2 linked regions of the Drosophila melanogaster genome follow. The protein of the gene in region 1 purifies or fractionates together with the protein of each later gene. This does not show direct contact. Each region holds a gene or a part of one and is shown in the gene's direction. Other genes may lie near its edges.

Region 1 (4,233 bases):
GAATATTCAATAATACTTTTATAGATATAACGAACCGATTCAAACGAAACAATATTCTTTAGTTCATAGTTAATGAGATGTAACAATTTCGAATTGATTTACAAGCAACGCAACACCAATTTTAGTATGGTACAGTTTGTAAGTAGAGTTGGAAAGCCATTAATTACTTTATCTACACCACGTGCTACGGAAACGGGTAGAATCTATCAGAATCACTCACATAGAATTGTGTAGGCGTTTTAAACCCAACGCAATCTTACAATCCTCTGAGGAAATATTCGAAATAAGCCAACTCTTTGGTGCTAATGGCACAAGAAAAGTACACATACCTAGGAATATTTATCTAGCAGATGCATTAATCTAGCATATGGACCGTAGAAACTATTTTAGTGTTAAGAAATCGTTTCCCACAACGGAAACTCCTTACGTGTCAAAACCAAAAATGTTTCTACATTTTTAGTACTGCTACATATGTAGACGTAATACCAACAATACACCACCACTATTGTTATTGTTGTGCACTTTCAATAATACACTTTGCATACTATATAGTACATATATCAAATATGCAAGTACTCCAAAAGGGAAAATTTCCAATTTCACTTGTGATTCGATTTGACAATCTCAAAACATAACTCTACGAACTTTTATTTTCTCCAATATAGCCTAGGCACTTGCATAAATTCAACATCATTGGGTAACTCACTGATGCACAAAAAAGATATATTCATGCTATACGTATATACCTCCGTTAACAGGATATAGCTAAAGCCAATCAGTCGTAATCAGTCAGTAAATGTTTGAGCCGTAACTTGTTCTAACCAATAAATGTTCAAATCAGTGTTTACATGTCTAACGCAAAACAATCTCGAAGTTTACTTACCTACCAAATAGCAAAGTAGATTAAATAGTTCGTAATGGGGATGACGAGACGGCTCACAGAGCTCACAGTAAGAAGACAACACCAACAACCACTTAGAAGTAATTAATCCATCGATTATGGTATGTACAGCAGAAGCAGCGATCTTTTAGCCGTACTACCAATTACATATTCTAATAACCAGAAAACCCATACCCCGAAGTGAGATTTGTGCAATGCAGAGCAGATATTTCAATACCCTAAATGTTGAACCTAAGCGTAACAAAATATATCTTTGAATGTCTAACATTTTGAACTCAACTAATATTCGAATAAAGATTTATGTGTTAGCAAGCTGCTACTGGTTTTTTTTATTTGTATTCAGAGGGCGCTATATTATTTTTGAAAGCTTAACTGTTCTTTATAGTTTTGGGCAATATGGAATCGGAGTTCAATCTGTGATATTTTAAAAATGCTTTGAGTTTTTGGTTTAATTTATACACGTAAGGGCTTTAAAACAAAATTTTATTCAAACTAATTTAAGTTCCTATCCCATCAGGTCTAAGCATTTAGAGATGACCACTCCTGGACTTGTGTTAGCCAAACAATTACCTGCTCGTTTTCCCGCCAACTCTTCTGTCTTGATCTTTTCTAAATTCCATCTATGTAAACCGCCCCCTACTTGGGCTTTTTTCGGATGGAGTTGGTCCATGATATTAGACGTTTGATTTACTCTCACCTTATCTGCTCTTTACGGCATTTGATTTTAATTCAAATTTGTCTTAAAAATCTGCTTTGAATAATTCCCGCTAGTCGCTGCTGGACACAACACTGCCATACACTCGCGATCGATTCAGCAATTGGAGAAAACCTCGCATAGCTGGTATGCTATACAATTCAATTAATGTCGTTCTTATGTTTTTAAACGTTAAAATTAAGCTTACTTGTGTGCGTACCTTGAAATATTTTTATACATCGCGCCAGATTTTAGATCGCAATTCCTCCCCCGCTGAGCTTTTGAAAAACGCTAGATGTAGTGGGAAAAGGCCAGCTTGGCAACGCTGGTGGGAATAACCGCGCGTTGTCCGTGACGTCACCGGATGACACAGCAGCTGCTCGGCCGCCGTGACAAAATCATCGAAACCGGCTGTGCGAGCCAACAGTTGTCCGCGAAGCTTTCGACGAGCTGGAACAGATAGAGATTTGATCGCGAGAAAGGCGTAGTAGCACTGGTTTAGACTTAGAAGCGTCCAATTTGCACAGCGTTAATTATCAGCGCCAGCGACAAGATGACCAATCTGGCTCCCACCATCCGGCTGAACAACGGGCGCGAGATGCCAACTCTGGGCCTTGGCACCTGGAAGTCGTTCGAGTCGGACGCCTACCACTCAACGCGCCACGCCCTCGACGTGGGCTACCGGCACCTGGACACCGCCTTCGTCTACGAGAACGAGGCTGAGGTGGGCCAGGCGATCTCCGAGAAGATCGCCGAGGGAGTGGTCACACGCGAGGAGGTTTTCGTGACCACCAAGCTAGGCGGAATCCACCACGACCCTGCATTGGTGGAGCGCGCCTGCCGCCTGAGCCTTAGCAACCTGGGTTTGGAATACGTAGACCTCTACCTGATGCACATGCCGGTGGGCCAGAAGTTCCACAATGACAGCAACGTGCACGGAACCCTGGAGCTGACGGACGTGGACTATCTGGACACCTGGCGCGAGATGGAGAAGCTGGTGGATCTGGGCCTGACGCGCAGCATCGGCCTGTCCAACTTCAACGCCGCGCAGACGGAGCGAGTGCTAGCCAACTGCCGCATCCGGCCGGTAGTGAACCAGGTGGAGTGCCACCCAGGCTTTCAGCAGCGCCAGCTCCGGGAGCATGCCAAGCGCCACGGACTGGTCATCTGCGCCTACTGCCCCCTGGCACGTCCCCAGCCCGCTCGGCAGTGGCCGCCCTTCCTCTACGACGAGCATGCCCAGAATCTGGCCAAGAAGTACGGCCGCACCACGGCACAGATCTGCCTGCGTTATCTGGTCCAGCTAGGCGTGGTGCCACTGCCCAAGTCGTCGAACAAGGCCCGCATCGAGGAGAACTTCCGCGTCTTCGACTTCGAGCTGAGTCCAGACGACGTCGCCGGCATGGAGCAGTATCACACCGGGCAGCGCACGGTACCCTTTTCGGGAATGTCGGGCCATAAGTACTACCCGTTCAACGACGAGTTCTAGACGGGCTCAGGGGTGTCCCAGAAATATCGGTTTCGCCGTTATTGGATTGGCTAGGAATGCAAACAAAACGACTGTGGCATTCCAAGAGGGGTGTTTTGTTTTAGTTGTTAACTCAAAGTTAAAAAGGTTTCGAGTAAACCCGTGCATTAATTCCCCTTAATATTTTACTGGAAGAGGTTCGTAAGACACCCCGCATATGTAGTATTTGTATTGTAAAATAAAGTATATTACGTAGAAGATCTCTGGGCTGTCGGGCTAATCAGTTTGTCTAACGGGGCCGCTTGATAAATCGTGTTATCTGCGAGAATTCGGCGTGTGCACCCGTCGGTCGGAACTCAGAATTCCCTAGTCAAGTATGGGGCACATAACGAGCTTTCATTAAGATGAATGTCTGCGATAGACGCTAAAATACCTCCAAACGAGGAGAGACATTTCCAGGCGCATCGGAATCATATCTCTGCTTATCAGCTGAACAGATTCCGGAATTCTGAAATCAAATTTTAAATTGGCGACCTTGGGCAGCGATAACGGCAGATAGAGCATCGATAGGAGTGACTGCCGATAACATTAACATTCAGCCCGAACGTTTTGCACCACTGTGCATTCAGCTGGGGCGGTCTGGCAGCACTGCCCAGTTTGAAAATCTGCAACATTTTTTCTTTCTCGCTACCAGAAGAGACATATATTTGTGAACTTTTAGATGTAAATTAAAGCAGTATCTATCCATACTCTCAATGAGCCCATTTGAGCTTGGTAAAAGTAGTGGTACGACCTTGCAACACCATCACCACCGATGACAACATATCGATACTTTCGACACTGCAATCATCAGCTTAAATAAAGAGAACAAAAATAAATTAGCGTTAGAATGTCAATGATACTAAGACGGAACCTGGGGGCATCCTGGTTGCTCAAGGTAGGCATCCCCCATAGCCAAGATAGATCACCCCCTGATTTCAAGGCATTACTCCCATGCAGGCATGCTACAGTTCCAGCGCAAAACCGGTGGACTCGGCCAAAACAATTCCCAGTAACCTGCTCGAGGATAAGCAAACGGCCGTTCTGCAAAAGGAGAACGGTACGATCTTCGACAAGCGCCCCTTCAAGATCCACCTGGACAAAGGTATTATTGAGAAATCGCATCGTATC
Region 2 (5,872 bases), on another chromosome or scaffold:
AGGGAACTGAACTTGAACCCGCCGGGGAGCCGAGATATACGTCTATTTTTAGATCTAACCTGCGGCTGCTGATTGTGTTCAGCCTCCGCAATGCACATGAATTCCCGCTTGATGGATTTGCGAGGACTGGAGGAGCTGGCCGGTGGGGAGCTTCAACTGCGCCGCAGTTTGCATTCAAAATGCGGGGGGTGGGGCGCAATGGAGAGGGGTGCGGTAACGGTATATCGGCCCATTTACACGCCCACATTCGCGAGAGAGTGGAGGCCATCGCTTCAAGTTCCGCGCAAAATTTACACACGAATTCCGATTCCAATCACAAACACGAAGCAAAGACAAAAACAAAAACGCAAGTACTGCAAACCCCCACACGCACACAAGCGCACAGATAGGCACGCCACAGACTGCTGGCATTTTCGCCTCGTCTCACTCGCACTCACTCACTCGTCCGCTCAGGCAAAGTATCAACAAATGTTCACGTGAACATCATGAGGTCAACGCGTGATACCAGACGGACCCACACAGACACTCACGCACACCATAAAACACGCAGGCGAGCTGTTCAGCCGTCAAGAAGGTTATTTTCGAGGGGTCCACTTGGGCATACCCTCTAAAAGCGGCGATAAAGCAGTAGGAGACGGATGGAATGACATTAATTTAGTAACGACAAATATAAAATTTCTTTTTAGGGAATGTGAAGAAAAATAAAACTTAAACTTTTCAGAGATCTGCATCTAATCTAGCTGCTCCCATGCTACCCCTGAATACCCTACACGGCCTGAACAGTCGCCCCACAAGTCTGGTGTGGGGTATGGCGTGCTAGTTATTCGTTGTTGTTGCGCAAGAGAGCGCCAATAACCACAGCTGTTTCTGCCGCTCGCTCTTTGGTGTGTGTGCTCTGTGTACGAGCCCCTTTTTGCTTTGAAAACTGTTACAGGCGAAACGCGAGCATTGCCAGGTAGAATTTACCCGTGTCCTAGGAGGGTTTTCAAACAAAATAAATGTAATCAATTGACGACTTAATTGAGTTACATGCATTCACTGGTGGTGAATAAGAGGATTTTGAAATGCCTGCTTTTCGTGACTCATCTTTGTTATCTCCCAGTTTCTTGGGCCTGGCAATGCTCCCCGTCAACTGTTGAGCTCCCATACTCTCCTGCTTTCGCACTATGCCTTTCGTTTATTAATGAAATCCGTGTCTGCTTAAAGTCAGACTTCCAAAGTTAATGCAAATATATGCGGCCAGGTCTTAGATTTCAGCTTGAGGGGCGTCTGCCAGGTTTCGAGCCAGTTTTAAAGTATTTTTTCAGCCGATTATTCACAGACTTCCGTGGCAACAACTACGTCAGCTACTCAGACACGGCTTTGGGGTGTGTCTGTGAGTGTGTCGGTTGGTGTGCGCTGTGCACGCGGCTGGGGCATGCACAGCCCATGAATAGACAGCCGATGGAGCCCCACACCCTCCCCAGCTCCTCCTCTACTGACCCGTTCTCTATAGCACCAAACACAAGACCCCGCAGTGAACAGCTGATGACGTCCATGCGTTGATTACGTGCTCTGCGGGCCTCTCTCCTACTGGCTGTGTGTCTGTGTCCTGCACAGAAAGAAATCGCTTCGGTGATTTTTTGGGTCTTCTCGGAAAAGATGGCAACATTTAAAATAGCCATACACTTTTAGAGAGTTTACTAAAAACGATTTGGGTTCACCTGAATCTCTTTTAACTTATTGCCAACCAACATTACAGTCTAAAATTGAGTTAACAGAGATGTCATTCTTTACGGGCTATTTTGTCCGGTGCACGTGGGTTGCTGAGAGGTGAGTGAGCAGGAGACCTGACCTTTTTCTTTTTTGCGCCCGAGAGAGAGGAGCCGAGGAGGTGCTGCCCACGTTGCTGGCTGATGTTCGTCCGGGTTACATTGCACTGGTTGCTCCACTGCCGATGACGATGGCCCGCTCACACACACTTGCCCGTTTCCAAGTGATTACGTCGTCGGCGGCTCCACTCACTCACACTTGCACAGCCTCTGCCGGCAGCGGCGTCGGCGGCGGCAGCTCTGCTGGGAGCTGAATGGCTTTGCCTTTTTCATTCGTCTCTTGAATTCCGAACGCAACGGTTCGCCTTCGCTCCAAAACGGCAAGCGGCACTTGAAAGCGCCAGTGCAAAGTTAGCTGAAGTGCAAAAATCTACACAAACTGAGATTAAACCAAGTGATTAGCCCCGGAACAAAACAAACAAACAAACACAGACTCTTCAATAAAAAAAAGAGAGTGCAACTGAAATTTGAAAGTGCAATGGACATGGATACCTTGCTACCTTCACCACCCGCAACGCCCCCACTAAGGGAAAACAAGTTGGAAATCGTAAGTGACCTACAAAGTGGATATATACAGTGTACGCTAGTGTAATTAGTGCTTATTGAGTGGGGATAGTGCATTCAAGGCAGCGGAAAATCAAACGGAATCGTACTTAGCTCGCTCTCGCTCCCACTTGCCGCGTTTCTAAAAACAAAGTGCCTCGTCCCGCTCGCACTCGCACACAGCCATGCGATCACGCAGCCAACACGCTTTCACGTGAACACCGCATGCACAGCGAGTGATGTGTGAGTGCGAGCGAGAGGCCGCAGCTGAACATTGGACTTGGCACCACTAGGAAAAAACAACAGAAAAGCAAAAGAGAGAAGGTGAGTTGCCAATTGGCAACTGTAGGCGAGCGGTGGAGTGTGAGAGGAAAGAGAGGGCCTAGCCAAAAGCTAGGCAAACAGGCCAAGCCCCAACCCATAAAACCATGTCACATTTCTGGCTCGTTTTTTATCTGGCCAAGAAAGAAACAAACAAACACTGTCGCACATTAGAGCGCAACGTGCCGAGCCCATAAAAAGATTTCGACGTCTTCGCACGAGTCATAATACACCCCTCGCATTCGCCTTCCCCATGAAATCACCCACCTGAGGCACGTCATAATAATACTGGTGGTGTGGCTGCATTTTCCTTGCATGCTTTTAGGCGCAATTTTTAAATGGTTCTAGAATATGCGCCGAAAACGCAACAGTTGCTCATGTTTTCATCCTTAAAAATTAAGTAGTGAAATTTGAAAAGTCCATATTAAGAACAGTTTTTAAAATTTTAAGACATTTTTTGTTTCTGTCAGGAGCACATCAATTTAAAGACTTTTATGTGGTCATCAATACAGTATTCACCTTTAACATTTACATACGTCTATAATTTAAAGCACAGCTGGCAGCAACAGTTAATGAGTAATATTCTGTCACCCCAAACGGCCTTTAAAAGAGTTCAAAAACCGCCAAAAACAAAGTTCCCTTGGCCTTTCGAAGGAGCATTGAACCTGGGGTTGGGCGGGGTATTGCAGGGTGTGTGAAGGTTAACGGTGAACGGCCTTGTCAGCCGCCGGCGTAATTAGCGAATTGCGAGGAAAAGTTATTGTGGGTCAATGCTGGTCAGCGAAAAGTGAATGGGACTGTGAATGTGAATGCACTCCTCAGAACATAAACTCGACAATGTTAACGAACTCTGACTAACCCTGAACTTGTTCTTTCCTTTTCCAGGTCGCCAAGGACGAACAACAGGTGAACGAGAATCTGCTAAAGGCAAAGCTCAAGCTGGTGGCCCAAAAGAGTCAGAAAAATGGAGGGATTATTACACCAAATCCATCGGACACGGAAGACGAGGCTCCCGAAATAGCGGTTCCCAACAAGAAACCCCGTTTGGAACAACCTGCTATGAGCATGACACCGCCGCCGGATCAAAAGCTGGACGATGATCAGAAAGCGGAAAGGGTTAGCGTCATCATGCGGGTCAACAGTTCTGGCGCTGTCTCTTCTAGTAGCCAAGACGAGAACTCATCTAGTTCCACCTCCTGCTGTAGTTCCTCTTCCAACACAAACACAAGTACAAGTTCAGTACCACCCACTGTGGAGGACGACTATCCAGAGGCCAATGTGTGGCGCAATCTCAAGTTCAAAATGAACAGAAAGCGTGCTGCAGAAGTGGCACTACCCCCAGTACAAACACCCGAGACACCAGTTGCGAAGCTTGTAACGCCACCTGCTCCAGCGGAATGCATCAAGGAGGAGGAAATAAAACCTATTCTGACACCGATATATGTTAGCCCAGTAGCTTCGTCTGCCAGCCAACTTATCCTGCTCAGCACAGTGGCCGCCCAACAGAGCCCCACACCCGTACCCAAAACGCCAACAATGTCCGAGGAGAAACTAACAACCAGAATTACGGCCGCCCAGGCGGCGGCCACCAGAAGTCGCATCTACGAGTGCAGTTTTCCCGATTGCGGCAAGAATTACTTCAAAAGCAGTCATCTGAAGGCCCACCAGAGGGTTCACACCGGCGAGCGACCCTTTATCTGCAAGTGGGAGAACTGTGACAAACGATTCTCCCGTTCCGATGAGTTGTCCCGACACAAACGGACCCACACCGGTGAAAAGAAATTCCAGTGCAGCGTCTGCCAGAAGAAATTCATGAGAAGCGATCACCTGTCGAAGCACGTCAAACGGCACAACAAGGACAAGGCGAACGGAGTGAATCGACATGTCTCCCTGGCCAACAACAACACATCAGCTTCGGTAGCGGCTTCCCTCTGCGATGCCTCGCTCCATTTGCGAGCGATAGCACCGGCGGGCTCCAGCGCTAGTTCCTCGCCCATCAGTTCCGCCAGCTTGCAAGTCTACAGCGCCCAAGATCTGCTGAGGCTACAGCAGCAGGCCAGCAGTTTCACCTTCGGCGGAACCCTGCTTCAAGTGCAGCGATGAGAAGAGCAATGCGAGCAGCATCAGAACCAATCTCAGCCCCACAGTATCGCCAGCTAAACAGAGATGAATTCCCACCAAATTTCAAAACAAATTAACATCTGAGTCAAATTCGAAATGCCTTCTCGCTCTCATGTAGCTGGTGTAGACTTAAGCTTAGTTAGGAGCTAGATCTTGTCACCGTTTTGTGCATATATCAACTTCAAATTCAATACGTAATACCCAAATCGGATAGATGCCACTTCTTTCCAGGAGCACACAGCACACTTCTTATCTAAGCGATCTTCTTCAGATTAATATTCTGAATATCCCTAGTGTTTGTACATACTATAAAGAGACGCATTCGGCGTCCAACATCTGTGATATTTAAGTTTTCTTAACTCTTTTCTATTGTACCATAGTTGTCAGTGTAATTCTCTTAAGCTAAAACACACACAATTGTATTTATTGCTAAATGTGAAAAAAAGAAAATGAAAACAAATAGAATAATGGATCATCGCACGATTCCAATCTCAACAAATGAAAATATACATATTTTCCAAAGAAAACTAAAGTTATTCTATGAATTGGGAGGGAAGCGTAATTGGGCAGAAGTCTATTGCGGTGACTTAATTTTTTTTTAGAATGACAAGCCCTATTCCAAATTGTTTATGCTTACCTTTTTAAAAATCTCATCCGACTGAAACAATTTGCAAAGTATGTAGCCCCATTTTGGTATTGAACTAAGTCTTGAGTGTGGAATGTTTTTTGCTTGATGAGTGGATGAGTGTGTTGTGTATATAGAAGGATGTTTCAATGCGGTGCAGCTCAATATTCTTTGAAATAATTGGTTTTATTTTATTTTAGCTATAAAAGCCATTTGTCTTATATGTTAAAATGTATTTACCCAAAACAGAGGGGCATTTTGGGAATCTAAAATGAAATTAAAATTTTCAATATCCATTGATTTAAAATTAAACAAGATATAAACTTACTAAACTTTCCACACTTTTTGCCCAGCGTAAATAGAAAAAATGTTTATAGTTGATTAGGCCGGATAGTTAGGTAAAACTTCCAACAAATATAAAAATATATCTAGAACAAAACAGAAATTAGAA

The links.
Region 2: the proteins of CG9436 (region 1) and cbt purify together in Drosophila melanogaster (affinity purification with mass spectrometry, with the first as the bait; one large-scale study listed by BioGRID). This does not show direct contact.

Annotation. Positions count from the first base shown.
Region 1 is NT_033778.4:6,756,687-6,760,919, reverse strand, and holds CG9436 (uncharacterized protein), read left to right. Parts: upstream 1-2,016; 5' UTR 2,017-2,148; coding exon 2,149-3,084; 3' UTR 3,085-3,319; downstream 3,320-4,233. Other genes in the region: CG3420 (uncharacterized protein), read left to right, coding at 3,953-4,000, 4,063-4,207.
Region 2 is NT_033779.5:475,893-481,764, reverse strand, and holds cbt (cabut), read left to right. Parts: upstream 1-2,076; 5' UTR 2,077-2,289; coding exon 2,290-2,358; exon of another isoform or gene 2,359-3,560; coding exon 3,561-4,778; 3' UTR 4,779-5,319; downstream 5,320-5,872.